Regions from separate parts of the Mus musculus genome. Here all the other regions are reported to be linked to region 3. The links are microRNA targets in miRTarBase. Many come from high-throughput screens and were not tested one by one. Region 3 holds a microRNA gene; each other region holds the end of a gene's coding sequence.

Region 1 (6,345 bases), not on the chromosome of region 3:
GCAAAGGAAATTTGGAAGAGAAGTGTGAAAGATGATTCTAGAAAACACAAGCTCAGGTGGGTGAGATGGCACACCATACAAAGGCACTTGCTACCAGGCCTAAGGACCTGAATTCAGGACCAGTAATCAATGGTGAAGAGACCCTACTCCAGCTTTCCCTCAGACCTCCCCCACTATGGCACATCTACCTACACACAAGGAAATAAACAAGTATAATAACTGTAAAAAGCTGGGTGTAGAAGTCGGGTATAGTGACACACGTCTTTAATCCCAGGAATCAGGAGGCAGAGGCAGGGGGATCTCTGAGTTTGAGGCCAGCTTGGTCTACAGAGTGAGTTCCAGGTCAGCCAGAGCTCTAAAAGAAACTGTCTTCAAAAACAAAATAAAGAGCCGGGCGTGGTGGCAAAGGCCTTTAATCCCAGCACTTGGGAGGCAGAGGCAGGCGGATTTCTGAGTTCGAGGCCCGCCTGGTCTGCAAAGTGAGTTCCAGGACAACCAGGGCTATACAGAGAAACCCTGTCTCGGAAAATCCACCCCCCCCCCCCCCGCCCAAAAAAAAAAAAAAAAAAAAAAACCCAAAAAACCAAAAACCAAAATAAAGAAACAAAGAGCTGAGTGTGATGGCACATAATTTAAATCCCAGCACTTGGGGGGCATAACTAAGTGGATCTCTGCATTTCAAACCATTAGTGAGATACTGTTTCAAACAAAATTATCAAACACATTTTCACACCCAGAGCCAGAAATGAAGAAAAACATCCTGTTTGATTTCTTCCTACTAAGTTGTTGACAGCAGTCTTAACTGACTACAACAAAACAAAACAAAATCCCCTTCAACGACATTCCAATTACTTATACAGGGAACGTTTGTCAACCAACTTGGCTAGAAACAGCGGGATCTACAGATGTAGCAATAATCATTGCCACTGGATGCTTGGCCACCAACGAAAGAGTAACGTGTTTTGAGGCAGCAGCAATTCCATCTCCTCCCACAGCATCGCCCACATAAAGGAAGAAAAAGTCACGTTTTCAAGTCCTGAGCTGGGAGCCACGGTCCGCCTTTAATGACATCAGAGACACTTTGCTGCCTGTCCCTTCTAAGGCCTAACCGGGCAAGGCAGTTGGGGTCCAATGCACCCTTAGTGGCTGGATTCGATAAGCCAGGGGTGGCCGGTGGTGCTGCAGCGCATGCAACCGGTTAGAGCAGCGGTTCGGAGCACAGCACGGAGCAAATCCGGTCCTGCATCTCACCAGCTAGGGGACCTCGGCTGGGCTCCGGACGCGGGCTCTCCACTCCAGCAATGTCGCGGCCACGCCACGCCTCGGTTTCCCCGTGCTGGCTGCCCTGCCCCTCCTGGACACAACGCCTGCTACCTGCCGCCCGCCAATCCTCACCTTCTAGGCATCCCTTCCAAACTTCACAGCTGGCATCATCGCCCGGGCGACCACACGCAGATCATGCTTCTAGCAGTCGCGGAAGTCAGTAGGCTTGCACCGGAAGTCCCACCCAGGCTGCGGCGCAGGGCATGCTAGGAGGTGTGCTGGGGGGCGGGGCCCTAGCGAGGCGTTCATCTTTCTCCAGGTTCCCTGGGCTGTGTACTTAGCTCCTGGTGTTCTGGGTTTGGATGAATGATCAGTGTGTCGTTAAGTACTTTCCCGTGTGTGTCGTCCTCGGAGCCCACAACCTGGGACCGCCAGAAATGGACATTCATTCACTAAGGATTATTCTGCCTGGCCAACACATCACAGAGCTGCTGGCTAAGTAGTGGGGGGGGGGGGGCGGGAGGGCGGGGAGGGGGGGGTCGGTCTCACTCTTATGAAACAAAATACCAATAATTATCCATTATTAATTTTTTGTTTGTTTGTTTTTTCGAGACAGGGTTTCTCTGTATAGCCCAGGCTGTCCTGGAACTCACTTTGTAGACCAGGCTGGCCTTGAACTCAGAGATCTGCCTGCCTCTGCCTCTCCAGTGCTGGGATTAAAGGCGTGAGCCACCATGCCCGGCCCATTATTAATTCTTTTTTTTTTTAATTAGGTATTTTCCTCATTTACATTTCCAATACTATCCAAAAAGTCCCCAATACACTCCCCCCCACTCCCCTACCCACCCACTCCCCCTTTTTGGCCCTGGCGTTCCCCTGTACTGGGGCATATAAAGTTTGCAAGTCCAATGGGCCTCTCTTTCCAGTGATGGCCGACTAGGCCATCTTTTGATACATATGCAGCTAGAGTCAAGAGCTCCGGGGTACTGGTTAGTTCATAATGTTGTTCCACCTATAGGGTTGCAGATCCCTTTAGCTCCTTGGGTACTTTCTCTCCATTATTAATTCTTAACAGCTTCCTTAATTCTACTCTCCCTAGGCAGCTGGGTCCTCCTAGTGCCTAATAATGCCTGTGAGTAGGAGAAGCATGGCAGTGGCTTGAGGCTCAAGGCTGGTGAAAACCAAGCCTGGCGACTGGCCAGTTTGTGGGACCTGGGAAGGGCCTTGGTCTTATGGAGAACTGACTACAAGCTAGAAGTCACCTGCAACACTACTGGAGTGGGTACAGAATCATGAAATCAAAGAGTAATAGTGCATCCCTTTAATCCAACATTCAGGAAGCAGAGGTAGGTGTAACTCTGTGAGTTCAAATCCAGCCTGATATACAACAAAGCAAGTTTCAGAACTATATAGACACTGTCTCAAAAAAGAAAATAAGAGTCATATCAAGTCTGGCCCAGAGTTGGGTTTGGCCAGAGGGAGTCTGGGGCATTAAAGGAAACCTGTAGGTTCCTGGTGTAGGAACTTGTGTGGGGCAAGCCTGGTAAGAACTATCAGGCAAATTTCCCTGGGGTACTGTTGTTTCTTGAGACAGTCTATGTAGAACAGACTGATTGAGAACTGGGATCGTCTTTGTTCCTGGTACTCTGAATAAAGGCATGTACCACCATGCTCTATGGTGCTTGTACAACTTTAGGAACACTTCATACGTAAATTGAGAGTAGTGTAGTTGTGCAGCTCTCATCCGGTTCACTTGCAGTGGTGGAGAAAGGCTGACGGTTCCTCTTGATGGCAGCTCTGACTCAAGCCTTGTGAGCAGAGGGAACACTAGCCTGGTCTTCCTTTGTGTCCCGCCACCTTGCACTGCGATCTGCTCTGGGGGTGGGGACAGCTTCTAAAAAGCTGTGAGTTAAAGGGCCCAGTGGTTTAGTTGCTAGGCGTCCATCCACCCAGCCTTAGTGTGAAGCTAGGATGTGGCTCATCCGGCATGTTGATGTAGTGGCTCTGTGATATGTTGGGATATGTATGTGATATGTTGTGATATGTATGTGATATGTTGTGATATGTTGATGTAGTGGCTCTTGTGAATGCCTGACTCCAAGGGTCAAGAACTTGAGGGTCCGATAACCCAGCAATGGCAGGAATATCCTTTGTTTGTTGATTTTTCGAGTTTCTCTGTGTAGCCCTGGCTGTCCTGAAACTCACTCTGTAGACCAGACTGGCCTCGAACTCAGAAATCCGCCTGCCTCTGCCTCCCGAGTGCTGGGATTAAAGGCGTGCGCCACCACTACCCTGCAGGAATATCTTCAGATGCAGACCTTGAAGTTAAAAGAGCAGGGTAGCTCTCAAGCATGAATCCCTGAGTAAATGACAAGACAGTCTAAATGATCTTTAAGATTTATTTAGATCAGAAAGCTGTTGATCTCAACAGGAGGGGAAAAGGGAAAATAAATTAAAAAAAAAAAACAAAAAAACAACCTATAGGAAAGTGGCCCCCAAACCTTGACCCCTCAGCACAGCACAGGGAGCTGCTTATGTCTTGCCTGTCCTTCAAAAACCAGCCAGCCAGCCCAAAGAGCTGGTGCTGACCCCCCAGGTGGGTGTGTGCTTTAATTCCAGTCTGAATTGCACTATACAAAAGGCACACAAACACATTAACGTGCATCAAAATCGACAGCCCCAAATGGCTTTCCAAAGCTGACAGCACACAGTAGAGGGTGTATGAAGCTTTGCACTGTGCACAGTGTGTGACCTTGGTCCTATGGTCCTGGTGGGAGGACGGCAGCACGTACCAAGCGGTGCTGCCTCAGTGAGGCACGCGTCTCTGTACAGGCTGCTCACTTACACACTGGCTCACTTCGTGTTCCACTTGACAACACTGAGGCTGAGCCCGACCTCGTCCTAGAGAGGGTGGTGAAAGAAGCTTGTTACAAAACTGTCGTTTCAGCTTTAGTGGTTTTATAAAAGTGTCTTCCAGTAAATCAGTGAGTCTATCGAACAGTGGGACTTCATGTAAACTGTTAGGTTCAACTGGTGGAAAGGAGCCCCGTACTGCAGATGGCCAGTCACATGATTAGGCCGTGAAATGCTTTGATGAGGACTGCATAGACAGGAACACATTCGGAAGATGTGTGGTGCCTTCGGTGCAGAGGTGACGGGACCCGGTGGCAGGTAGAGCGTCTCAAGAGTCCACCTCATCTTTAACTTCACTAATTCTGTCGATAGACTTGAGGATTTCAGCAACAAGGTTCAGTGTGTCTGCCCCAGACACCAGCTGCCTAAAGCAGAGAGAGACCAGGGCCATTATTTCAGCCGTGCAAAGGCAGCCAGAGACAGATCTAAAGGAGAGAGCCCAGAGCTATCAACCAGGTTTGCCACACTGGATTCTGTGTGGCTGCCCTCTGGCCCATGTGCCTGTGCACAGGCCAGCCACCCTATAGTGAAGCTTAGGGAAGGCAACTAAAGATGGTAGGTTGCAAGCCAGATAAGTTCATCAGAAACTGATTCTGAATTTTGCTCTTTGCTTAGGCCAAGCTGATGATGCAGTACTCTCAGTGATGTGGGCAGTAGTCCCACCGCAAGTCCCATATCTAGTCATGAGAGCTCTACCAGGGGGACTACTTTGCTTTTGTGTTTAATAGGTCAGATGAATTAACTACATCTTGACAAGTTTAACAAGCTGCAGCTTTGGTGAGTGTTTAATCACCATTATCATCACCAACTGACTAGCTCACAGTATGCTCACTGTGGCAGACTTCTCCCCTTCAGTTAGAGCTGCAACGTACACAGGCAAAGCAGCTGGATTCAGAGGCATGGCATCATCCACACCTATTAGTGGGAAGGTTCTCTGGAACATCAAAAATAAAAATCCTAAAACGGGCATGATAATGCATACCTCAAGTTCCAGAACTTGGGAAATGGAAGCAGGAAATCTCTGAGTCTGAGGCTAACCCGGTCTACACATACTGTCAGAGAAGCCAGGGAGACTTTGTCTTAAAAACCCAAACAAAACAAAAATCCCTCAAAAAAAAACCAAGCCAGGTGAGGGGGTGCATGCTTTGAACTCTAGCACTTGAGTGCAGAGGCAGAAGGATCTGTGTGAGGTCAAGGTCAGCCTAGTGTACATAGCTCCAGGCCAGTCAGTGCTACAGAGTGAGACCCTGTCTCAAAACAAGAGACCACTCTTACTTGATTGACTATAGTATGACTGAGCCGGTCAGCACCTTTCCCTTGCTGGTCCAGCCAGAGGCCGCCCGGGGACTCACTTTATGGATGCGTGTGCACTGTTCATGACAAGGTGGAGGTTCTGCAAGGCCACGTCGGTGTTCTGCTTCACTACAGAAAGGCTGGCACCCTGGCCTGACCGCAGGGCTTCATTTTCTCGCCTCAAGTTTGAGAGCTGGGCCTAGAGAGAAGGGCGAAGTTAGTGCTCCCGAGGCAATTCAGCCTCTGCATCACGACGGGCACACATCTGGACACGGGGACCAGCCTGGCCCTGGCCTGTTCAAAACAGGTGCTTCTTGCCTCTGTAGCCCAGGCTGGCCTTAAATGTACAACTATCCTTTTCCTCAGCCTCCTGACTGCTCCGACCGCTGTGCTTGGCTTACACTATTTTCTCCCTCCCTGAACTCACATGTATGACAGCCAAACCTTTCTCTTTACTTACCTGAAGCAAATTTATTTCCTGTTTCAGCTTCAAGACATGATTTTCTGCTTTTACAGCCCGTTTCTGTGGCCCCCAAAAAAATAAACACAATGCACATCACCAAGGCTGTGTTAATACAGGACACCTACCTCAGGAGGCAGCAGTGCGCTATAACCTACCTTCCTGATTCCTCTGCCCATGGGTGCCTGCCCATGGGTGCCCACCCCTGGGACCAGCATCAGGGACCACCCACCCCGATAGAGAACCCTTTCACAGTGTCAGCGTATGCTGGCCCACTACAGTTCACACACTCAGCACGGTGAGAGCCGCCTGCTGAGCTCAGGGTCCAGCTGTGGACTCTGGCAACAGTAACAAGTGCTCTCTTGCAGCAGCAGCCCGGCCCTGCCCACTACCCCAGAGCGGAGCCCCTCCGTACG
Region 2 (6,643 bases), not on the chromosome of region 3:
ATTACACCCATCCATTACAACTAACTTTTCCAGGAAGCAGATTTTAAATCAGTGTGTGACCTAGGGTGACCCTGGGTGGCCATGGAGAAAGAGTTCCTGCGTGGGCCCTGGGTGGGGGTGCATGGGGGCCCCAGCCCTGCACCCAGCCATCCTGGATGGTCAGGCCTCATGGCTTGCCCTTGACTTATAACTGTGGTCATATGGGATGGTTTGAAGAGGAAGGAAGCCCAGCTATGAGCTTGGCTCCTGTGGCCTTTGATCAAGGCAGTGATATGGGGTAGGGGATTCTGGGCCCCACTCTGGGCCCTGGGGATCCAGCTGCCAGGACACCTGCCTCACAGGGCTCTTCTGCTCCTAGGGGGTCGTGTGAAGACCTGGAAACGGCGCTGGTTCATCCTCACAGATAACTGCCTCTACTACTTTGAGTACACCACGGTAAGTGAGGCCGCACACCCTCCGAAGCCCTGGCATTCTCGTGTCTGTCAGGCCTTGCCTCACATGCCTCTCTCTTAGGACAAGGAGCCCAGGGGCATCATCCCCCTGGAGAACCTCAGCATCAGGGAGGTGGAGGACCCCCGGAAGCCGGTACGTGCTGCCCTGTGCCCGCGGCCTGCCTTCCACCCTACCCAACCCCCACGCCCCTGACACTCACCCCCTTCTCTCTGTCAGAACTGCTTTGAGCTGTATAACCCCAGTCACAAAGGTCAAGTCATCAAGGCCTGCAAGACGGAGGCCGATGGCCGTGTGGTGGAGGGCAACCACGTTGTGTACCGGATCTCTGCCCCCAGCCCGGAGGAAAAGGAGGAGTGGATGAAGTCCATCAAGTGAGTGGGCACAGCCAGGCTGCTCAGTCGTGTGTGGACACGCGTGTGCATGTCAGGGGTGTGTGGACACGCGTGTGCATGTCAGGGGTGTGTGGACACGTGTTTGCATGTCAGGGGTGTGGGCACGTGTATGCATGTTGGATGCCTTTACTCAGTGTGTCAGCAACTGAGCAGGCCAGCCTGGGTAACTCACCCTTGACCCTGCTGCTTGGGAAGCTGTGGGTGAGGCAGGCAGCCAGACCTTCTCGAAGCTCCAGCCCACTTTACTTCCTTTCTTCCCCAGAGCAAGCATCAGTAGGGACCCGTTCTATGACATGTTGGCCACGAGGAAAAGGAGGATTGCCAATAAGAAATAGGTAAATGTCAGGATCCAGACTCCAGCAGATACACTGGCCTCCCCAGCGGCAGGACCGGGGACGATGTGGTGCCCACGGGCCCTCCAGAACAGCCAGCCAAGGCCTGAGCCCTCAAGCCTGTGCTCTGGGACATTGGTCAGCTGGGAGTGTCTCCTTCCTGCCACCGGCCTGGCATTGACCTTTGGGGACCCTTGTCCACAACAGCACCTGGTGATACAGCCTCCAGATCTGCACAGCCCACATGGGACTCCTGTTCTGGAGCCAGAGCCTCACCCACACCATGCCACACCTGCTCTTTGGGGCAACACTAGATGTTCTAGAAGTCGCTGTTTTATATCAAAATGGGAAAGGAAAACCTACCACTTTTTTATTCAGAATTTTTCTCAGATATATAGGATTATAGCTTTTATATGCCTTTTTATATTCTGAAAATTATAATGAAAGATACTTAATTTCTAACAGTAGTATTTTTAGAATGGCAGCTATAAACTTAACTCCTGGACACACGTATATACTGTGCACTGAAAACAGTCTATATATGCAGCCCCCATGCACTTGGGGCCAGAGCAGCTGGGGCACAGTCATCCTGACAGAGTGTCAGCTGGGTGAAGAGGCATTGGGGTGAGTGTGGAGAGCAGTGTGCTTGGGAGATTCAGGCGTGACTGCCACTTCCCCTCACATGCTTCTCTAAGATGAATCAGTAAGGTACAGCTATGGCCGGGGTATTTATCCTGTCAGTGCCAAGGCCTGGAGATGGAGTTCCTTCTCTGGAAAACAGGCCACTTATGTGCAGAACCTCCTCTTGTCTGACCTTCATACAGGACAGTTTCATGTGGTCCGAGTGCACATGGCTCATGACTTTGGTACTTTTGTTGCTTGCTGTTTCAAACTTGGGTTAAGTGCTAACACATATTTTGATGTAGTAAGCAAGCAGAAGCAGCCAGAAGTAATCCACCTGTTCTCTGGAGTGCCATGTTTTCCAACATTTGACATCCTTTGGAGGAGGTGAAAAACTGAAGATGGCACTGAGGGACACGTGTGACATCCAGACCCCTAACACACACACACACACACACCAGTGCATGCCTTCAGGGCATATGTGCTTGGGCTGAGACTGGGTAAGATGAGAGGGCCCATTCATGGCTTATTTGGAAAATGGTCTTCCCCTGCACGTGGAGCTGGTGTTCTGAGAGCCCTTGAAAACCGCCAACCAAATGCCCTTACACGAGACTTTCAGTGAGCTGTCTTAAGGCTTTTTGCCTGACCTTGGTGGTAGCTGCCATCTAAGATGGCACAGAAGGATGTGCAGGCCAGAGCTCCCTCGCTCGTGCACCAGACTGATCACTTTTTGGTTTATTCCCAAGCTTCTAGGCTTTGCTTTTACTGATACCTCAAATCTGAAACCCTTGCATTTGAGCTGCCTGGCTGGTGTGTATGCAGCCTGGCTTCCAGTCTTCCATGATCCCTATCCCCTATTCCCCACCCCAGACCTGAATTTACTGCTGGTGGGGCACCTGTAGGGAGGTAGGAACTGGCATTTTTTTCAATCAGGACCATGGTGAGCCGGTCAGATGTTCAACCCAGGTGTGGCCCTGGGCAACAGAGCTCTCTGTGGGATATTGAGGTCAGGACGTTAAGCATGAGGCTACCTAATGTTGTCTTTGATGCCATAGTCATCTTTGAGGGGACCTTGCCTGATGGCTGTTGGTGCTAAGAATCCTAAGTTACTGGCTCTTGGAGTATCCACATGGAGTCACTTAACTCAGGTTATGTTGTGACAGTGTTAAACCCAAGGGCATCTGCCACTCCCAGAGCTTGTAAAGGCTCAGGCACTCCTGCCCTTCACCCTTTGTCTGCACTCGTCAGTGAAGCATTAAAGCCCTACTCTGCCCAAAGACAGTTCCCTGTCCTGCTGGGCCCTGGGCATCATTCCTGGGTTTCAGAAGACTTGATGTGGTACTGCAGAGTAACTAGGAACCGTCTGGGGATGGGACTTACTGTGCTTCCTGTCATGCTGAGTTCAGAGCTACAGGTGTGCTTTGCTGACAAGTTAGGTCGTTACAGACCAGAAACCATGTTGTGATTTCTTTTTATCTTAGAAAACATTTCTATTTACAATAAATAGTTACTATGTAAATAATGTACATATGTATTAATTTCTTCAGTGTTATACAATGTATATACTCCTACAACCTGCATGAAGAAATATCCTATTAATGTTGATATCAGAATTTCTGGCTATTTTATTGCAAAGCAAACAGCTAGTAAAATGGAGGGCCTTACGGCTGTCAGAACTATTGCAAATACTGTGTTCCCTAAATAAAAACATACTGCTAAAACCAAAACTGCCTAAGACTCAATTCTTTAAAACAGACATGGCTATGAGCTTGCGGAGAACAGAGTAAAACTGAGACGGTTGTTTAATTTGCTGCCATTTATATACTATATAAATCTTACATGCCGTATATATACAGTGGGGCAAGTGCTTTTTTAATCTTAAAAAAACAAAGATCAACTTTAGACATCTCTGAACAACACAAACTGTATAAACCATACAGAGTATTCAGATACACACTGTATTAAATACAGTCTTCTCCCCACTCCCGTCTCCTGATGCAGGACCAGTGAATTATAAGTGTCACAGTTTTATAGCATATCCATATTAAAAATAAAATCACAGTATGATTTTTGTCTGTAACTAGAAACTTGAAGGGATCAAGCTGACGACTCAGACTTCAATATCATATTGTCGAGACGAGACACAGTATAAAAAGTGTTAGGTAAAAAAAACATACTGTAGGCTTTACAAATAATGTCTGGATTATACATTCATAATGCAAATACTCATCATAACTGGTAAATTGATTGGAATAGTTCCACAAAGTTCAAAAACAGAACTTGTCTATAAAATACATCTTCAAATCTTGAATACAACTAAAATGTGAACAAATTAGTTTCTATATCAGACATTGCAGAGGAAGCCCTCGAAGGTCTCGCTGAGAGCTTGGGTCTTTAAATAAGTCTTTAATTTAAATAGACGCACTGTCGCTTGTCCTTTTGAAGTCCATGGTTCCCAGCTGGCCGTGCACCAGGTGTCTAGCGTGGAGGAACATTACATGAGATACAAGTAGTCAACCTGAGTCTGTGGTTAAGCAGCATTTGAGATGGTCTATTCCAGGGCATTATTGTCAGTGTGATTTTATGTACACGGTAATTTACAATGTTCAGCAGTGTAGAAAGTATCCGTTTGGAATAAGGGCAATTAAGAAAAGGTAAAAACTGAAAAAAGAAAAGAAAAAAAAGAAAAAAGAAACAGTTGTCCATGGTAAACTCTGTACAGTATGTACTAAAGAAGCACCACGCAGTTCGGACAAAGTTATTCTCTATGTTTATAATTTAAGCTGGGTTGGGGATGGCTTCTGTTCAAAATGTTGAATCTGAAAGATAAGAGGTGCAGCAGGCATTAGACGAACAGAGGTTGGTCTCACACTCTCTGGATGTGTTCCCAAGGCTTTTGAAAGTTCCTGAAATTGCCTCTCTACCTTCCTGAACTGCAGTAGAGAACCCTGGAATGCCAGGGCAGCGCCACCTGCTGGGCCCCAAGCTGCAAATCACTCAGCCCTCAGACACCACGTTCACTGGGCAGAGGAGGAGAGAGGCCCAGAGGCTTTGTCTCCATGACACGGAGGAAGCCTGCGAATTAGCTGAGGCGAGAGCAGCAGCTCATTTTAAAGCCTTTGCTGACTAGACCTGCCCTCCATCACAGAGTTCGGGCTCTGAGTTCCTGTGTCTCAGGGCCACACAACACAACACCAGCATTAGGAACCAGATATACCCTGACCCTTGTTTGGCCTCTCTCTGCTCTCAGATACTTAACTCCATTTCTTAGCACAATTTCCACATCTGGATGCTAGCTAGTGACTGAGTCCTAGAGGCACAGACACGCCAGGACCCTCCCCTTCACCACCCCTGGTTTTCACCAGAAAACCCACCTATATCCACTCAGCACTTCCACAAATGACCAAAACGGGGACAATTGCTTACCGTAATTTTGTTGTTGTAAGGCCAAGGCTGTTTAGTCACCTAGAAGGCAAAGTAAGGAACATCTTTATTATGCGTGTGTTCTGCAGACTTAACGATAATCAGTTCCTACAGCTCATTATCAGCTGCTGAAAAATCACTCGGATAGCAGCATGAGCTGGCAGTGCCACAAAGCACCGGCACAGGACCGTCAAGAGCCACACAAGAGGGACCAGGTCTCAGCCCCAGCACAGAGCTGCACATTCTCGGGTGGGTGACCATCCTTTCAGGCTGAAGCAATGAGCTGAGTCATACAAAGAGCTGGAGGAAGGGCTGGTGTCAGACCCAGAGCAGCGGTGTCTAGCTGCAGATCCAGCTGCAGTGTATGAATGGACTGCCAAGGAGCAGAAGGTTCCACTCGGGGTCACCAAGATGCCCACATCTCTGTAGTGACACACATGTCCTTTATTTGTGACCATGATCTTTGGGTGTCCGAGGCAGAATTGTCAAGCTTTTTATATCAAGGGCCAGGTGATGAGAAACGTCTCAGTGGACAGGCTATGTCCACTGCTACTGAGTGGCACCAGAGCTAACACATAGCACCTGGGCTTCCACAGTGCACTGACCCTGACCCTCCCACCTCGGTGCTCGCTGTGAACACATGCCAGTCTTCTGCACTTTGAACTGTTGAGAGCCATTCCTAACTCCAGGCTAGACTGGCTGCAGGTTGCCAGCCTTTGCACTAGCCCCACCGATGTTCACAGCCTATGCAGTTTCTACAAGCCCAATGCTCCTGTCCAGAGAGAATGAATGTTCACGGAGAGAAAGCAGCCAAGCACACTGGCACTGGACTGTAATCCCAGCACTCAGGATGCTAACATAAAACTCTGAGTGCAGGCTAGCCTGGACTACATAGGAAAGTCAAGGCACAGGGGCTGCTGTATACAGACCTACTCACTTAGAGATCAGCAAGAACCACCCCAGAAACCAGCAGCCTGAAGGATACCAGAGCCCCACACTGCAGCTACACCTCTAGAGATCAATCACACTATTGATTTATGACTTAGGAGCTGGGGTACACTAGTGCATTTAGGGGTTCAGAAGTTAGTACAACACACACAAAGATGTGCACATAAAAACATATATGGGCACAGAATGCTTTAATAGCCCAAGTTCTACTGTGTGACACTCACAGACGCTCCAAGTTCCAGGGATCTGAGTACACAGGTTGTGCTGAGCCTAGCTAGCTCTCTGCAACTTAGGCCTTCCACAGAGCTAGACACTCCCAGCCAGAGATTAAAGCACACCTCTGCTCACAGGCAGGTCTTGTTTTTGGTCATCGAGTCCATTCTCATATCCTCCTGTGCCGTTTTGATTTTGTTTTTTTTTTTTTTTTTAAACAGGGTTTCTCTGTGTAGCCCGACTGTCCTGGAACTCACTCTG
Region 3 (5,000 bases):
TTTACCAAAATTAGAAAATCCTTAACAATTTGTTTTTCAAGACTATTAAAGTGACTGAATAGACAAACTGGGAAGAAAATATTTTAAAGCACATTATCAGACATAGCAAATATCATATCTAAATACATAAAGAGTCTAAAAACTCAATGGTAAGGAGTGGTTAAGAGCACTGGCTGCTCTTCCAGAGAACCTGGGTTCAATTCCTAGCATCCATACGGTGGTTCACAACTGCCTGTATCTCCAGCCCCAGGATATCTAACACTCTCCCTATTTTCCAAGGTGACTGTATGCAAGTGGTGCACAGAGACAAGGATTTAAAATCCTCAACAGTAAAAGACAAAGAATTCAGGAAGAAAACAGGGAAGAGACTCAAGACATTTCACTGAAGCACTTGAAAATATGCTCAGGGTAGGGAGATGGCTGTCAGCATGGTGCCTGCTATACAAGTATGAAGACATGAAACTACATTTCTGTACCCACAAACTTGGGTGCAGTGGACATAATACACACACACACACACACACACACACACACACACATACACACACACACACACAGATGCTCATATAGGTGACAATGGGAGAAATGCACACTATAATCACAAAAGAAGTGTTATTCTATCAAATCATGTCAAGATGTGGAGAAACTGGAACAGCCACACACTGGAAAAGGGCACACTTTAAAAACAGCAACAACAACAACAAACCTGAATTAAACATTTATTTATTCAGTATTATACTTTTATTCTAGGAAAATGAAAACTCATGGTCAGACAAAAACCAGTACATGAACATCATAGCTAATTTATTAGACTCCCTAGCTGAAAATTATTCAGCTATCCTTCAATAAGTGAATAGCTAAGTAAATTATAGTACATCCATACCGTGGAATAGTACTCAGCAATAAAAAGAAAATTACTTATGTGTACAGCTTGGAAGGACTTCAAGGGAACTCTGCTGAACAAAGAAGAAACACAGCTCTCCAGGTGAAGTACACTCTGTCTATTCAACACTCTTGAAATGGCACTAGATGAAGATTAAGTTAGTGGTGCTGAACGGTTAGGGGAAGGGAGAGTCTCTGGCTATGAGAGAATATTGGACCCTTTCCTTACCAAAAAACAAACAAACAAACAAACCTGTCCTACAGCTTTTGTGCTGAGTACATGAATCTGCATGTAATGGAGTTGAACAGAAGCACACATGTCCATGAGCACATATTAAACAGGACAGCTCTAAAGACATCAGTGGGCCCAGTACAGCCATGGATCTGTGCTGTGATATTCACTACTGTTGGGCAAGATGCAACCACTTGGGAAATGGATCTCTATTGCTTCAATAAATAAGAGCAAGGTTACCACTACCCTAATACTAAAAGGAGCTGGTGATGCTGACAAAATGCAAACAACCTTGACCGAAACCACAAGACACAGGACACAGACCTGTGCTCTTCTGAGATGCCAGTATCAGGAAGCAGTAAAGAGACAGCACAACTAAATGTAACACACATTCTGGCCTAACTAATCTGGGGTTTTTGTTGCCCTTAAGGATACTTCTAAGCAGTTCTGGAGAACCTGAGAGAGCCGATAGGTCAGGAAATGTACTGAAAGGACATTCATTTACTGACTTTGATAGTTACAGTGTGATTATGTAGAACAACATTTTCTTTCATTTCTTTTTCTTTTTAAAACTGAGATAGAATATGGCCTGGAACGCCTGCGTAGTCCAACTGGCCTCAAAACCCCGAGTGCAGGTATTACAGGGTACAGCACCATACTTGGCATGTTTTTATCTTGTTGTTGTTGGTCTTGTTTTTAAATATATGACATAAACAAGTATTATCACAAGATCCTCATGGATTACGGCTGGCTAGAGTACTGGTTAGCTCACCTGGTTCCTGTCCCGAGCATTTGTGTACCTGATCTTCTGAATGAAGTAGAATATGAGCCACGCTGAAGAAATAATCATCAAAACAATAAAGGAGATTGACACGAAGACTAGAGAGCCACGGCTGAAGTTCTTTGGCGGCATTCGAGTTCCAACAGCTATTGTCATTTGTACAGAGATGTTTTTCTCCAGATAACTCAAAATATCCTTACCCCTCAATTCTGTTATCATGACAGCAATAATATCTCCCGTGCCTGTAATGTAAAACAAATACACAGACTAAAGTGACATCTGAAATTCATAGACACATCAAATAAATATACACATATGCTCCATAGAGAAATTACCATAATTTTCACTAAGGTTTATAGATTCCAGTTCAACTGACATGAGGCTGCAGCTGTGTAAACTGACAGGCATGAGAACATGTACAGTGCTCCAAACAGGTAACGCATAAAGCAACTGTGGTGTTAACAATGCACAAACTGCCTTACCGGTGCATTAGAAGCACTGTGAAAGCAGCCACCTGTGACTAAATCAGGTTAAGTCTTCAGTAGAAAACCTTTCTATAGCAATCAATCTGGAAAGTTCTGACAGAGAAGCACTGTCATTTACAGTCTGAACAGGTGGTCCTTGCACTACTCATCCTCACACGCACTGCTGAGCAAGGACTGCTCTAAGAAACAGAAAGAAGGGTACTTCTTAGGGCACACACTTGGCTATGGAGTGACAAGTGCCGAACGGCAACATCTTTTACCAACAACCTTTGAAACTAACTTTGGTCTTCTGTCTACAGTAAAGCTCCTTCCAGGGCACTTCTGGAGCTCAAACGCAACAATTTTCCCACCCAGTTTGGAGCCAGCATCTCACATTGCCTCGGCTAGCCTCAGACTTGAGTTTTATGTTAGTTTTCCACCTTGTTTAACCATGCCCAGCGCACTCAAATCCTCTAGGCAGGCCCAAGTTTCAACTTTCTGGACTACTACCCATAATGATACCTAAAACCTTCAGTTCCTAAAAGCTGTTCAGAGTTCTGCCCACAGGCACAACTTTTATAAGTTAATTACAAGGATGGTTCAGTTGTGTTTTCAAGTCCTTTTCTCACATGGCTTCAAGGGCCTGTTTTAAGTCAGAGTGAGCAGCTACTCACCAAGGTCACTTTTGTGAGTATGAAGGAGGATTGTGCATCCAAACACAAAATACCCTCTCAAAACAGCAAGCAGAGACCCCAGACCTGACCTTTTGAAGGCTCTGTCAACAAATATTAGAAACACTTGTTTTGATTTCTTGTTACCTTTAGCAGTCAAGATGAGACACAACAGAAACTCAGTAACAGAAGTTTTGAAAAAAATATAGCTCAATGGAATATATATTTGCATAATACTGTATTCAAAACGGTTTATTCACTTTATTAGAGTAGTAGTTTACCAGTTTATTTTTGCTTAAAAAATCTATAAACAAAAAGGAGACAACAAAATTAAAACTAGCATTATTAAGTTAACATCTGCCTCTGGTGAGTGAGTTAAAAAGAATCATAAAAGAATGCTAAACCAGTTTAAATTTCCATTTAGAAACCTTAAGTTTGTGCTTTTACAATGTTGATCAACAGGCATGATCTGTGGTGTTAAGATACCAGGTATGGCTATAAAGTAACTGAGACGGATCCCACAAACGACATATGACAATCAGTCTCATTGCTTTATAATCACACCAAGTACAATTGGTTTTAGAAATCAGTTCTGAGGCTCCCTCTTGAAGACTCAAGCTGGAAGTGGGGAGAGCTGCACAGGTAGCCAAGGCAACCAATCCAGTAATTTCCTTAACCGAACACTAAATGGGCGCGTCAACTAATCTCAACAGGAAGCTGTTTGGGAAAGAAAAATTTAATTAGTTCAACACTTGTCAATATTCACTGTTAGGAGGACAAGAGTGAATAGATCTCACTGTAGCTTTATCATCCTAGCAAAAAGAGGAGACTGGGCAATGTTGCCAAAGGAGACTGAAAATGATCAAATAAAAAAGTACAGCAGCACATCTGATATTAGTGAAGGCAGTGATCTCTTACAGAAGGTGATGAAGCAAACTACAAACCCTCCTAGGAAAAAAGTTTCTTTCTCCCCAACATCTAGAGCTGGGCTGGGTTCAAAGAGCCTAACAAGATGGCTCAGACATTTACAAATGGGGATGGGACTAAAGAGATGGCTAAGAGCACTGGTTGATCTTGCAGAGGACGAGGTTTGGTTCCCAGCATCAATATGGCAGCTCATAACTACTGTAACTCCAATTCTAGAGGGAACAGACACTCTCTTCTGGCCTTCGAGGGCTCTGTACACATGGTGCACATAGACTCATGCAGGTATACACACACACACACACACACACACACACACAATAAAAAAGTAAATAAACCTTAAAAACAAAACAAAAAACTCTTGGGAGAGTTGGTGCAGATTCAGGAGGGATGATGACAACAGAGGAAACTTAACCCTCAGGATAAAACTAGGATTAGAGTAGCAGTAGCTGGTAGGAGAGAGGGGTTAATTAGACTGAAGTAATGGAAACATTAAACAGATACAAAGAATGTGACCAGATCACCCCTATGCCTGTGTTCTGAAACACCAAGACATGGCTTTGGAGTTCAACAATCATGCAGCTATGTGTTCCTTTTCTACTGCTGTGGTTAAACATCATAGCCAACATAACGTATACAAGGAGGGGCTTGTTTGGCTTATAGTTCCATCATGGTGGGGAAGAATGGCAGCAAACTGTAGGTAGGAACTGGATGCCAAGAACTCACACCTTTTTAAAAACACTGTTAATTTCAATTATGTGTTTATGTGTGTAGCTTTGTGCATGCAAGTTATAGTTGCCTGTGGAGACCAGGAGTCACAGACCCCCTGGAAGGGGGGATACGGGCAGTTGTGAGAGACCTGTTGTGGGTGCTGGGAATTGAACTCAGGTTCTCTCCATGAGCAGAAGAATGCCCTGGAAACCTCTGAGTCATCTCTCCAGTCTCACATCTTGAACCATAAGCACTAAGCTGAGAGAACAGCAGTAAATTTTGGGAATCTTTAAACTTTCAAAGCTGGACTCTACTAATACACTCCTCTTCCAACA
Region 4 (6,513 bases), not on the chromosome of region 3:
TAGCCTTCTCCAGAGGTTACCCTGACCTGCAACCCATTCATTTGTGTGTCCTCTTCGGTTTCTTTCATTGAAGGGTTGTTTCCAACAGGAAGGGCTTGCCTGTGTGCGGTGGTTCAGAGTGAGAATCCTCTATACCTGCTCTGAACTGCCCTCCATGGTTGCTCTGAATTTCCTTCTCATGTAGACTTAAAGTGGAGAGAGAGTTCTGCAAGGTCAGGTAGGCATCATAGGAACTGACAGGGGTGGCAATGGAGTGGATGTGTGTATATTTAGAATTAGTAAATACTTGACCCACATCTCTCTTCCCAGGCCACTAGCCTCAGTTGACATGGTTTCTTTACAGAATTCTGAGTTCTGTACCCTTTCTTCTGATTTGGGGTTGGGAATTCTAAGAGGATAAGTGTTTACATCTAGTGCAAATACATTCGTGAGGTAACTCCTTGGTTTGTATAGTTGATTGACAAAGGCAGAGGTTGTGTGTGTGTGTGTGTGTGTGTGTGTGTGTGAGAGAGAGAGAGAGAGAGAGAGAGAGAGAGAGAGAGAGAGAGAGAGAGATCTGGATTCTGTATATCTTCTTAACCATGTAAGAGGAAGACTCTTCCTCCAAAAACTGGCTCCTTATCCTCCCTTCCTTCTCTGTCCTCTCCTACCTAACAAACGCATCCATGTGCCCTTTAAAACCATAGCTCTGAGCCCGCTGGTTCAAACCCCTTTGAAGTCTTCCTTCATGTCTCTAATAAAAAGTTCACATCATTGTTGGCATTCTGAGTCATTCATTTTTCCAGTTGTATCTCCCAACTCTTTATGAGTCCTCCAGTCCATCCCAGCAGAACTGTTCCCCACTCCCATTGTCCCTTCTACAAGCTTCAGGAGTCATTGATCCATGACTCTTGAGTTTTGACCTATGACCCTTGAGTATTGACCCATGACCCTTGAGTATTGACCTATGACCCTTGAGTATTGACCCATGACCCTTGACCATACCACTTGTATTCTGAGTTGTATTTGAGCTACTTGAGTACATGTAGCTCACAGCCTTGCTCAGACTCCAATTCTTGGAGGGCATAGCTATATGAAATCCATCTATCTGCTCCCCATGTCACAAAATAGCTCTTCTGATTGGCTGGAATGAATCAAAGTGCTCCCGTGTCTCCTGCAGAGGTTGTTAAGCCAGGCCAGTGGCTCCTGAACTGCACAGGCAGGTTCAACAGATTGTTTTGGGGGAAACTGCTGATTTTGGAATGATTGTTTCAGGACACATATATAGGTCTCAACCCCAGCAATGAGGCTGGAGCTCAATGGGAGAGCATGGTCTCACCCTTCCCTCCATTTCTGAGCCTCCTGGTTGGCTCCTGATCATAAAACTTCTTCAGGACATTCTTTTGGCAGGGGGCGGGGGGGGGGGGGACAGAAGCTATCTCCAAAGTCCCATGCCATGTCTGGATAGTTCACATCTGAAATATAGTCAATCCTGTTTAGTACAGCCACCTGTGTATCATCTTTCAAGTCCACTGGAAATCTCCACACATCCCTCTGTAAACCCTACGTGAAGCAGATTACACAACACACATCTGTTGCTTAAAGGTGCCCATTAAATCAACATCCAAATTAAATCAATCATCCAAAGCAAACACAAAGAGGAGAGTGCCCTAAAGCTCCATGATCCCTCTAACTCGGTGCCTACTCTTATCTCACTGTTTCAAAGCCAAAGGGGGTCTGAACACTTAAACAACTTTTCTTTTGAAACATGATTAGAAAAAAAAATTAATGATTAATTTCTTCAGTGGCTCTAAATTTGGGCAAACAACTGGAAGCTCAACTGAGCTGTTGTAGGGGCCACATGTGTCTAACAGCTGTCCTGAGCCTCATCCATTGCCTGGGATGTATGAGAGGAAACATTTCATACAAGTTTCTAAGTGAAGGAGCAAATGAGCTAACAAGTGTGTCTTTTTATGTCCTCCAACAGACTACAACGGCAGTGAGTTAAAAACAGCTTGCAAGAAGCATGAGCTCTATGTGAGCTTCCAGGACCTGGGATGGCAGGTGAGTCTCAGGGTAAGGAGGGTGTAGTAGGTGCCTTGATCTTTTCTCACCAATGGCTGCTGTCATCAGCTTCCTGGAGCTGCCATAGCAATCCAAGGAGCCCTCAAATGTTCAAGCCCCCTGGAGTTAAGACAGGAAAATCCAGCCTGCTGATATACCCAGTGGTGCACCCTGGTCCTTTTGTGGGTTTTCAAAGCTCTGTGACATCCTCAAACCCAAGGCCTACTTCTGTCTTACCTCATCCTTTCAAAGTCCAAGGGGATGGGCATATTTATTTGTACATTTGAATAACTTTTATTTTGAAACAGGATTACAAAAAAAAAAAAAAAAGTGATGCATTTCTCCAGTAGCTCTAAACTAGCTCTGCCCCTGCATAGAAGAACATGTTTGGCCCATACACCAAGTCCAGCTCTAGATGTGATGAGAAACGGGAGACTGACAGGAACATAATGGGATCCTGCAGAGGATCCTTTGGGTCCAAGTCCACACAACAGATCCCGGCTTCCAATGTTTTAACTGACCACGTTTCAGCTGTGTGTGTTCAGTGGATCTAGTACTCTGAGTTTCGAAGTTGAGCCTTTCTCTGGGCTATAGTCTCCTCTCCTCAGTGGTGGCAGCAGAAGCTACAGCTCCTGATCAGCCCCACAGTGCACTGTGCTAAGCTAGGATGCTCGGGACATTAGGTATACTGTGCGCACTTTCAACTGGCATTTTATTGGGGTGTAACCAAGGAGCATTTGTACTTCGAGCCATTCACCCATTCTCATAGTCAGGGTTTCACTGCTGTGAACAGACACCATGACCAAGGCAAGTCATTGAAAGGACAACATTTAATTGGGGCTGGCTTACAGGTTCAGAGGTTCAGTCCAGTATCATCAGAACATGGCAGTGTCCAGGCAGGCATGGTGTAGCAGGAGCTGAGAAATCTACATCTTCATCTGAAGGCTGCTAGCAGAATACTGGCTTCCAGGAAGCTAGGATGAGGGTCTTAAAGGCCCCACACACAGTGACCTACCTACTCCAACAGGGTCACACCTACTCCAGCAGGGCCACACCTTCTAATAGTGCTACTCCCCAGCCCAAGCATATACAAACCATCACACCCACTTAATCCCAGACCTAACAGGTTCCTAGCAGCTAAGAGCCCATAGAAAGACTGGAAGCTCTAGGGTCTGACAAACAGGCTCAAACTTCACTTGAATGTGAACTTGGGCAATTCCCAAAACTCCCTGCATGTCCCCATATTGTGCACCACGGACAAAGCCTTCTCTTGGGGCCACTGAGAGTGCAGATGGAATAGGGTTGCCTGGTGATCCTTCACTGCTTCCTTTTGCTTTATCTCAAGGACTGGATCATTGCACCCAAAGGCTACGCTGCCAACTACTGTGATGGAGAGTGTTCCTTCCCACTCAACGCACACATGAATGCCACCAACCACGCCATTGTACAGACCTTGGTGAGTGCTCCAACCCGGCTGTAAATGGGATCGAGCCTAGATCTGGTGTCATTTCTAACAGTGCCCTCCCACACTTCTATTCTGGAAACAGGTCCACCTTATGAATCCCGAGTACGTCCCCAAACCATGCTGCGCACCAACCAAACTGAATGCCATCTCGGTTCTTTACTTCGATGATAACTCCAATGTCATCTTGAAAAAGTACAGGAATATGGTCGTGAGAGCTTGTGGTTGCCATTAAGTTGAAGCTGGTGTGTGTGTGTGGGTGGGGGCATGGTTCTGCCTTGGATTCCTAACAACAACATCTGCCTTAAACCACGAACAACAGCACAGCGAAGCGGGATGGTGACACACAGAGGGATCGTGACACGCAGACACATCTCCCGCTGGTGCCTTACCCACGGAGGCTTTTATGAGGACCTTGTCAAGGGCTTTCCCAGTTCCTAACTGAGCAGTTGCTGGTCTGCAGGAAGCTGGAAGGCTTGTAGTACAGGCCTGGAAACTGCAGTTACCTAATGTTCGCCTCCCCCAACCCCGCCCGGAGTAGTTTTAGCTTTTAGATCTAGCTGCTTGTGGTGTAAGTAGAGAGTAAACTTGAAGGAATATTAAATATCCCTGGGTTGAAAGACCCGGTGGTGGCTCTACAGCACCCATCCCAGGGAGATTTTTGCAGACATCCGAATGGAGGGGAGAAGGGCACTCTTTCAGGTTCCATTCCCAGCAAGGGCAGCTCACACAGGACCTGCAGCCTGGCCATCAGCAGGCTCTGTGGAGGTGCCTTCTGTCTACTGTTGTAGTTACGTGTTTTGTGTTGACTCTCGGTGGTGTGAGAATGTACTAATCTCTGTCAAGACAAACTGTAGCATTTCCACCCCATCCTCCTCCCTCCCTCACAGAATTCTTTACTAGAACCCAAAGTAGACAGACCGTACTTTGTGGCAGAGCCATGAAGCATCTGCCGTAGCCGTCATTTAAGCCACAGAACAGCAGAATTTGATTCTACATCTCGTGGGCAGCCTGGCTGGACATGCGTGTTAACATCAGGAACACTGGCTCCAACATCGGCTCTGTAACCCCTAACTCTGCTCTTTGCCTTTTCCCTACCTAAGCATTCCATGGCTCAGGGCTAGAGTCTAAAGCCGAAACCCAGAGAGGGAAGGGCCCTGCCTGTAAGAATGGGTTTGTCAAGGTGAGCATGCTGTGTGTAAACCAAAACCACCATTTCCTCCTGTAGAAAGTAAGACTCAGACTGAATCTTAGAATATTTTTTAAATGTCCTTTTCACAATCATGTACCGGGAAGCCAATTTCATACTAAACTGATTAAATAATACATTTACAATCTGTAACTGTACTTACAGCCTTCTTTGTAAATAGAAACTATAATTTATTGTCTATTTTATATCCATTTTGCTGTAACATTTAAGCAAAGACCAGACTTTTTTTCTTTAAAAAAAAAAAGTTTATTTAGAAAGTATAAACCAAATTGTACCACTTGAGTTTTCTTTTCATATAAGACCATGATGCTAAGCTGAAGCCACTGTGAGCTGGGCCAACAGAACTGGTTTCCAAGGACAGCTGTGACCCACACGTGATTAATAATAAACGTTCATAACAGGCTGGCGGGGCGCCTCTGCTCCTGATGTTTTGGAAGCAGACGTGGTCTGGTTTCAAGTCTCCTTGCTACACGTCTTGTGCCAGGTGCTGATTTCACCCCGCTCGTGGGAGGTAGGTGAAGGGCCTGGGCACAAACACAGTGGTTCTGAGAACAAGACAGACAGAGGCATGACGTGGGCTGCATCTTCACAGAGTTACGAGCAGCGGCGTCTAATAACCTGGAAGGCGGGAACCGGAAGTAGCCATGCGATATCCAACCTTGGGCTTCCTAGGCAAGGGCAGCCCTGCCGACTGCAGTCTTTGGTCTGGAGGTCAGATGAATCCCACTGCTCAATCATTAGAGAGATGGTCAGCCTCCTTTAAGGTGGAGATTATAAAGCGAGCTGCTAAAAGAACTACTTAGGAAGAGAATCAGAAGCTGTTTCTAGGAAGGCCCGAGAGGAGCTGCAGAGACTCCCTGGTCCTTGGACCTGGGAAAGCCTATCGGGTGAGGACCCACCTTGTGGTGCATCCCATACCCTCCCTTTCTGCAGAAGACGTACATCTCCACACTCCACCCTATGCGAAGCAGACAAGAGGATCCTTTGAACAGCATGAGTATTTGGGGCACACATCAGAAGTACCATTTGTTATGGCTTACCTCTCTCCACTAGAGAAGTAATGAGACCCAGGAACCCAGCAGTGGCTATGAAGGGATCTCCAGGGCTCTGTGGGCTTTTGTTTTGAAATCTGTACACTATGGACCGACACCTTACTAAGTCAACAGTGCCGCAGGCCTCCTTCCCAAAACTCAGGCAATGCAACAAATTGCTCCTGCGAGATGATGTCCTTACATCCCTGGGAGCCAGCAGAGTTCAGCAATTTGGCTTTCCTTGACTGTATTTTAAGTTGCAAAGGGAGCCAATTTAATTCTGTCAAGAGAAGGGTTACAGGATGGATCGCCACTGAAAACGTTTGGTTTGCCCAGGGACTGTGAGCCATGATTAGAGAAACTTAAGGTCCGTAGTGTGTGGTGGCTCAGAGAGCACACAGGAAGCAACACAAGCTCAATACATTCAGCTTTCTGACTAACCACAGTGAAAACACGTGTGTCTGTGTGAGGTCACGCCTAAGCCCAGGCTGGATGACTTCCCCGGGGTCTCCTATAGTTCATCCTTTGCCTGGCGCAGAACAAAGCTGTGTAAGGAGTCGAGGTCTCTACCTCCGTTGTGTTCTCCCACTTTTTCACCTCCTCGGAAAAGCAGCAACGTGGGATAACCTCGTACCTTTAAAGGAGAAAGAGAGAGTGCTTTAAGCCACACACACACAGAGAGAGAGATGGTTCAGTCTGTAAAGTGCCACACACAGAGTAAGTATGAGGACTTGAATTTGGTTCTCCAGCATCCATGTACAAAAAGT
Region 5 (6,643 bases), not on the chromosome of region 3:
CCTGGATGCTCTGCAAGATTAAGCACTCCCCCATCCCTCCCCCCCCCCCCCAGACAGGGTTTCTCTGTGCAGCCCTGGCTGTCCTGGAACTCACTCTGTAGACCAGGCTGGCCTCGAACTCAGAAATCTGCCTGCCTCTGCCTCTCAAGTGCTGGGATTAAAGGCGGGCGCCACCACTGCCCGGCTAAAATGAAGTACTGTTAACCCTCAAGCTATCTCTCTATCCCCTACCTCAGCTTTATAGAATTTTTAAAAAAAGATTTATTTATTATTATATGGAAGTACACTTCAGACACTTCAGACACCCCAGAAGACACATCAGATATCATTACAGATGGTTGTGAGCCACCATGTGGTTGCTGGGATTTGAACTCAGGACTTTCGGGAAGAGCAGTCAGTGCTCTTAACCACTGAGCCATCTCTCCAACCCCCTTTATAGAACCTTTTTAAATTTGGAGCTTTAGTATAGAGTGTGAACTTGTAATCTCACTCAGCACTTGGAAGGTGGAGGCAGGGGGATCAGAAGTTCAAGACAAACTTTGGCTATGTATCAGATTCAATGCCAGCTTGGGCTACATGAGACTATTTAAAAAACATTTGGTACCATGACACTATTAACAGGTTTAAAACATTTACCCTTTAAAATACTAGCACACAGAGCGGGGATATAGCTCAGTTAGTGGAGTACTTGCCCACATTGTGAAATTCAGGGTGTGAGCATTTGTACTGGATGGAATTGGATATGGGGTATGTGTGTATGTGAGTCTTAGCTATTTTTATTTATGTGGAACCCTGTCCCTCCTGTCCCCTTCAAAATACTAATATTTTCTTTGAAATTTATTTTTAATTTTTTAGAAAATCCTTTATTTTATGTGCACTGGTATTTTGTCTGCATGTATGTCTGTAGAGGGTGTTGGATCCTCTGCAACCTGAGTTGCAGATGGTTGTAAGCCACCATGTGGGTGCTGGAAATTGAACTCAGGACCTCTGAAAAAGCAGCTTTGATCTTATCCACTGAGCTGTCTTTCCAGATTCCTCCCCCCACTTTTATTTTCAGGATAGGTTTCTCTGTGTAGCCTTGGCTGTCCTGGAACTCTGTAGATCAGGCTAGCCTCTACCTTCTAGAGACCCGCCTGCTTCTGTCTCTCAAAGTGCTGGTATTAAAGGCGTGTGCTACCACTGTCCGGCTGAAAATCTGTTAAGACTTTTAAATATTTATGCTTTTATGCTATTCTGACAAAAATGGAAATTTAAGAAAAGAAAATGGACATGAAAGTTTATTTCTAGCCCTGAAAGAACAAAATTATTCAGTCAACAAATACAGCAGTTATAGCAAAGTACAGTTGATTATGTTAGATTAAATTAAAAATAGAAGGCAATATAAAATCTGAAAACAAAATAGAAATAGGCTTTTTACCCAACTCAATTTCTACCTACCAAAACAAGGAAAGCAAACCAAAAAATAAATACATAAAAAAGTGACTCCTTTCTTTGAACTTCAACTAATTGTTTTTCTTGACGCAGAAATAGCATGTTTGACAAGGTTATCTGTTTTTAGCATAGGGTAGTGAATGAGAAAGACTTGAGTTCTTTCAAGACCAGGCCAATGCTTGAATCTGTTCGTAACTCTAATATCAAACACAGCATCTCTGCCAGAGTGGTCAGCGGATGTACTGATAAGAGAGGGAATGTGTGGGGATGTTTCCTACACGCAGCTTCAGAAAAGCCACTTCACAGAACATCACACATACGCATCACAGAACAGCGCTGACAGAGCAATCTGTCCTGTCAGTGCGATTGTTAGAAAACCAAAAGGAAACATTTAACAAGATTTTAGCAATTTTTTTAAAATTTGAAATTATACAATACTGTCAAGTAGTGGCCTAGATACTGTTTTTAGTGGAGCACGGGTTCAAGCTTGGGGCTTTGTGCATGATAGGCATGTGACTCACCACTGAGCTACACTCCTGGACCCATTAACTATATAGCCTGAAACGACATTAGAAAAAAGTTTAAACAGGACACAGTGGTGCATGCCATTATTCCACTACTGGGCAGCAGAGGCAGGTAGATAGCTGTGGGTTCCAGGCTAGACTCATCTAAGCTAACCAGGCCTATACAGCAAGACTGTCTCAGAAAAGAAAGAAAACATTGTATTATCTATGATAACCGTGTGGGAGCAGGCGGGGGGAGTGTCTGCTGAGGTCAGATGCCAACGAGAAGGAATTCCTTCTCCTGATCTAGTGGCTAGGATAAGCAGACACTGCCCCTGCCCAATGCTCACGGGGCCCATACATTCTGACAGTTTAGTGATTGCAGATCTCAGTATGCTTCTAAGATTTTCATATTCAAAACTGGATGCAGCCTGTTTCAACACCTACCTTCTAATTCTAACCATGGTCTGATAAGGTATAAAGCATGCAGGCAAGAACACAGTGCATACACATGAGCCCATGAAGAGATATTTCGGCATAGCACATTTAGGACTGGTGGTCACTGGACAGACAGCTGTCTGTTGAAGGGAACTCAATGCGTGCAGACAGAGCTATGCTGGTCATGGTGCAGCAAGCTGCACTCACGCTCCTTCTAACTGCTGTGGGTGGCTATGGTGCTCTGTAAACAGAGTGCAGCAGAAGGAGAGAAGATGCCTTTGCGGCCACCACAAAGACTGCAAGGTAATAAATAAGTGGTAGGGCAAACAGTTCCTAAGGACACAAGAGGACTAAGGGAGGCTCCAATGGGGATTCTTACTCTAAGAGATGGCAAAAGAGGGAATACAGAGGCAAGTCTTTAAAAAAAAAAAAAAAAAAGAATCTCAATTCATACAATTGTCTTTCAACAGGATCTCAAAATTTTAATTTAAAATTAACTAATAAATCACAATTCTATATTGCTTTAAAGATTATTCTGTTTAAAAATGACACATCTCAAAATTAACCATTACGATTAACTATTCCAGGTTAGTTTGTCCAGGTCAGGAGAGAATAAAGCACAGTGCAGCTCCCTTAACCTTGGAGTCAGGTTTGAATGACAGAGTCCGTCGCCAGCAATGGACATGTAAATAACCATCCAAGAAATTCTAAGGACAAACCCCAGACTGCTTCTGTGTGGACAAGCCGGTGTGGAGTCACAGCCTAAGGAGGGGCAGCAGCCTGTGTCCCCGGTGCTCTCGAGGATTGAGGATGGAGCACCTTCTTAAGCAGTGCCACCATGTAGCTGGCTTTCTTCTATGCTGGCAGCACTGTCATCACAATCTATCCAGACAGCGGCTCACAAACAACACTCACAGCCAGAACTCAAGAGGCAGCCTAGCTTCCCACCACAAAGAAACCACTTTATTCCTGTAATTTAGTGAAAGCTGTAGGAAAATACAGTCCAGAGGAAAAGGAGCTCGCATGGAAAACAGGCCAGTAAGTGCTCTAGATGTTGACTTTTGCTGAAAGCCCCTAGTGATCTCTTCTTATCCTGTATTCTAATGGGAACACCAGGAAATGAAACCCTGCCCCTTCCCCCAACCCAAAGAGCAAACTTACTCATTTATGATTTGTACTCTGCAGAATGGCAGGGCGAGTATGTGTCACGTTCTTTGAAAGGGGATGGTGGGGACAAACCTGAACCAACCACAGGGATTTTCTTTCCTATGGTTGCAGGACCATAGGATAGACAGCAATACCTCCTCACAGGCAAAACAACAAAGCAATACAGAGAAGCAGAGAAGAGGAAAGGCAGGAGTGGGGAGAGGGCAGCTAACAGCTACTACTACAGGTCACAGACCTTTTATTAAATCTTTAAAATAAAAGTATTACTAACAATACGAACACTGCAGTTTCCTTTCTCCAGTTTGTTTTTTGTTTTTGTTTTTTTACAATGAATACCCTACTCATTTGGAAAAACAAACACTAAAGTACCCAACACCTCAAATGATCCATCAAGTACTGCACTATTTCATCTGTCATAAACAGTAAAACATTGATAATGGGTCAGGAACACTGTAGATTAGATGAGTCTTTACAGTTTACTGTCAGAAACTTCACCTCTACAATATTGACATTTCATTATTACAACTAGCCTAGAACTCACCAAGGTTCAAATCTCACTTGGTTTCTGCTAGTCCCAAATATTTTTCCTTTTAAATAGGAAAAATCTTTTAACTTTTAAATTCTGAAAATTCAATGGTTATTACTTGCCCTAGAGGGTGGAGGGGGTGTATGTGAAATAAGGGTTGATTCAAAACGGACACCTAAAATCACAACATATACAGACACTTATTTCCAAGGAAACACAGGAAGGGAGTGGCACCAAAGTCACACAGCCCGCGTCAACAAGCGCAGATCACTTTGGTTCCTAAAGCCAAATATGAGGAGAAACAGGCAGAGAAAGACTACAAAATGGTGAGAATATACAGTCAGTGGGATTTTTCTTCTCTGTATCAATGATTTAGTTATAAATATAGATTATTAGTCCTCTTTCTATACATGTAACAAATGTCAAACTTACTACCACAAAATTTCTAAAGCTGACTCTTTCACATTTGTTAAAAAAGGTAAAAATCACATACTTTCCCCCTTTCAGTTTAGGCTCTGAACTGAAACACTCCGCACACCAGCCGGTCCTGACTTCTATAGGAAGCTAAGCATGTCAAGCTCCTTTCCCAATGTAAAGAGCTACATCAATCATTTTATCACATCTGCCTTGCATTTAGGCATAAGAAAAACTCCGAACGACAACTTAAAAGGAAAGGGTTAGAGGAAGGGAAGGTCACGAAGGAGAGAAGATCAGCAGATGAAATACTCAGAAAAACTTGAATCTGACATTCAAGTATGGGAAATCCCCCAGGGGAGACAGGAACAGGATCTGCCATACTAAAAGTCATCACACAGTATGCGAACGTCAAGCGCGGTCTGCGGGACATGTAAGGCTAGTGATGCAGTCCACCGTTCCTCTTGGACCCTAAAGCAGGGGCTCATTTCAAAGTCATAGCTCTCTTACTGCAATTTTCTCTTGGTCATCTTTAGAAAATAATAGTTTTTTTTTTCCTCCATGTGATGCAGACTGTCTCTTTACACCCCTCAGAGTAACAATTTCATGTATTAAAAGACTTCTTTTAAAAAATGGATAAGGGAATAGGAGGCCTCGGTGACGATGTTAGCGGTTACTCTTCATTGCTTCTTTAGCTGCCAGGATCAGTGGCGTCAAGCTAGACAATGGTTTGGCCAGTTTCAGGAAAGGATGCTGCCAAATGGAAGGGAGAGAGAAAGCTTAGAGGTGTTTCTCATTTAGAAACTCTAGCCCCCAAATTACCTCTGGATCATTTAACAAACTAAAGCCCTCACACGCGGCACATCACTTTTACAGCCCCAGGAGGGGTGGTTTGTGTGTGGTGAATGAGCTTGTTTGTGGCTGTATGCTCTCATCTTATCTGTGTGCATCTGTGGAGACCAGAGGTCGCCAGGAGCTCTCCTCTGACACTCTCCTCTGTCACTCTTCCCCGTATTTCCTGATTAGGCTGACCAAACAAGCCCCGGGGGTCTGTCTATTCCCTCAGCACGAGGGTTTATAAACATATATAGCCACACTTAGCTTCTTATGTGGGTGCTAGGGATGGAAACTCAAGTCCTCAAGTGTGTAGCAGGTACTTGATCAACCAAGACATCTCCCAGCCCTGGTTTTGGCTTTCTGAGCTAAGGTGTATATAACTTATCCTGGCCTCTAACTCACAGCAATCTTCTTGCTTATTACCTAAAAAATTACCCCCCCTTTTCTCCCTCCTTCTCCTTCTGTTCTTCCTCCTCCTCCTCCTCACTCCCTCTCTTTCTACTTGTCCATTTTTTGAGACAAGTTTTCTCTGTGTAGCTCTGGCTGTCCTTGAACTCAAAGATCCTTAAGTGCAGGATTAAAGGTATGCACCATTACACCTGGATCCTTTTTATTTTCTTCAATTACATTTATTTAGTGTGCAACTGTGTTTATGTGTGTGTGTGTGGGGGGGCAGGTTCTAGGGATCAAGTCTAGGCATGCAGGCTTAGTGGCAAGTACTTTTACCCAGAGAACCATTTAACTAATACCAAGTAAGCTGCTAGCTGCTTACCATCTACAGACTTAAGGGGCCGGAGAGATCCCTCAGAAGGCAGAGCGGGTGCCTTATCTGCATAGAGCCCTGGGCTCAATCCCTAGCACTGCCTAGGCAGGACGCTCAAGATCATTCCCTGTCTTTAAGCACACAGTGAGCTGTAGGCCAGCTTGGGCCACATATAAAGAAACGAATAAAGAAACAAAAATTAGTTCTTCAGAGTTAATAGTCATAAGTATACTCATGACAGAAATGAACAGGTCCAAGAGTGATTAATTATAGAAACTTACTACTATGATAAAAACAAATTATGGAATTAAACATACTTTTTTAAGGGCCAAAGAGATGGTTCAGCAGATAAAGGCCCTCGCTAACAAGTCTGATGACCTGCATCTCTGAGACCTACGTGCTGGAAGGAGAGCATCAACTCTTGCAAGTCTCCTTCATGCAAGTCTGTATGCGCACATGCACACACACACACACACACACACACACACACGCATACATATACACACACACACTCATACACACACAGAGTTAAATTCTGAAACAAACTTTACTAGCATAAGTGAA

What was found. Region 3 holds the annotated microRNA mmu-miR-340-5p (UUAUAAAGCAAUGAGACUGAUU, at 3,567-3,588, opposite strand). A microRNA usually pairs through its seed, bases 2 to 8, with sites in the 3' UTR of a target mRNA and lowers its output. Matches are read on the target gene's strand: a 7mer-m8 pairs with bases 2 to 8, a 7mer-A1 pairs with bases 2 to 7 and ends in A, and an 8mer does both.
Region 1: miRTarBase lists Entr1 as a target of mmu-miR-340-5p. Seed matches in the 3' UTR shown: 7mer-A1 at 4,222-4,228.
Region 2: the mRNA of Cyth3 is a reported target of mmu-miR-340-5p. The part of its 3' UTR that is shown has no 7-base or 8-base seed match.
Region 4: the mRNA of Txndc5 is a reported target of mmu-miR-340-5p. Seed matches in the 3' UTR shown: 8mer at 5,487-5,494.
Region 5: the mRNA of Pak2 is a reported target of mmu-miR-340-5p. Seed matches in the 3' UTR shown: 7mer-A1 at 4,442-4,448 and 7mer-m8 at 2,411-2,417.

Annotation. Positions count from the first base shown.
Region 1 is chr2:26,379,154-26,385,498 of GRCm38, forward strand. Entr1 (endosome associated trafficking regulator 1) reads right to left here. Exons shown (of 10, transcript NM_026563.3): 7 at 6,345; 8 at 5,930-5,992; 9 at 5,529-5,668; 10 at 3,647-4,541. The coding sequence ends at 4,445. It overlaps Snapc4 (small nuclear RNA activating complex, polypeptide 4), which reads right to left and starts at 1,500. Exons shown (of 23, transcript NM_172339.4): 1 at 1,396-1,500.
Region 2 is chr5:143,706,726-143,713,368 of GRCm38, forward strand. Cyth3 (cytohesin 3) reads left to right here. Exons shown (of 13, transcript NM_011182.4): 10 at 359-435; 11 at 514-585; 12 at 670-824; 13 at 1,108-3,525. The coding sequence ends at 1,180. Usp42 (ubiquitin specific peptidase 42) reads right to left here. Exons shown (of 18, transcript NM_029749.2): 17 at 5,225-5,263; 18 at 3,600-4,617. The coding sequence ends at 5,256. Among named protein-coding and RNA genes, the nearest start is that of Usp42, 22 kb to the right of the region's middle.
Region 3 is chr11:50,068,308-50,073,307 of GRCm38, reverse strand. Mir340 (microRNA 340) reads right to left here and starts at 3,606; the gene lies at 3,509-3,606. It overlaps Rnf130 (ring finger protein 130), which reads right to left. Exons shown (of 9, transcript NM_021540.4): 3 at 1,887-2,137.
Region 4 is chr13:38,495,329-38,501,841 of GRCm38, forward strand. It overlaps Txndc5 (thioredoxin domain containing 5), which reads right to left. Exons shown (of 10, transcript NM_145367.4): 10 at 4,938-6,380. The coding sequence ends at 6,258. Bmp6 (bone morphogenetic protein 6) reads left to right here. Exons shown (of 7, transcript NM_007556.3): 5 at 1,967-2,043; 6 at 3,389-3,499; 7 at 3,591-4,986. The coding sequence ends at 3,740. Among named protein-coding and RNA genes, the nearest start is that of Gm31834, 29 kb to the right of the region's middle.
Region 5 is chr16:32,015,035-32,021,677 of GRCm38, forward strand. It overlaps Pak2 (p21 (RAC1) activated kinase 2), which reads right to left. Exons shown (of 15, transcript NM_177326.3): 15 at 1,256-5,232. The coding sequence ends at 5,146. Among named protein-coding and RNA genes, the nearest start is that of Senp5, 15 kb to the left of the region's middle.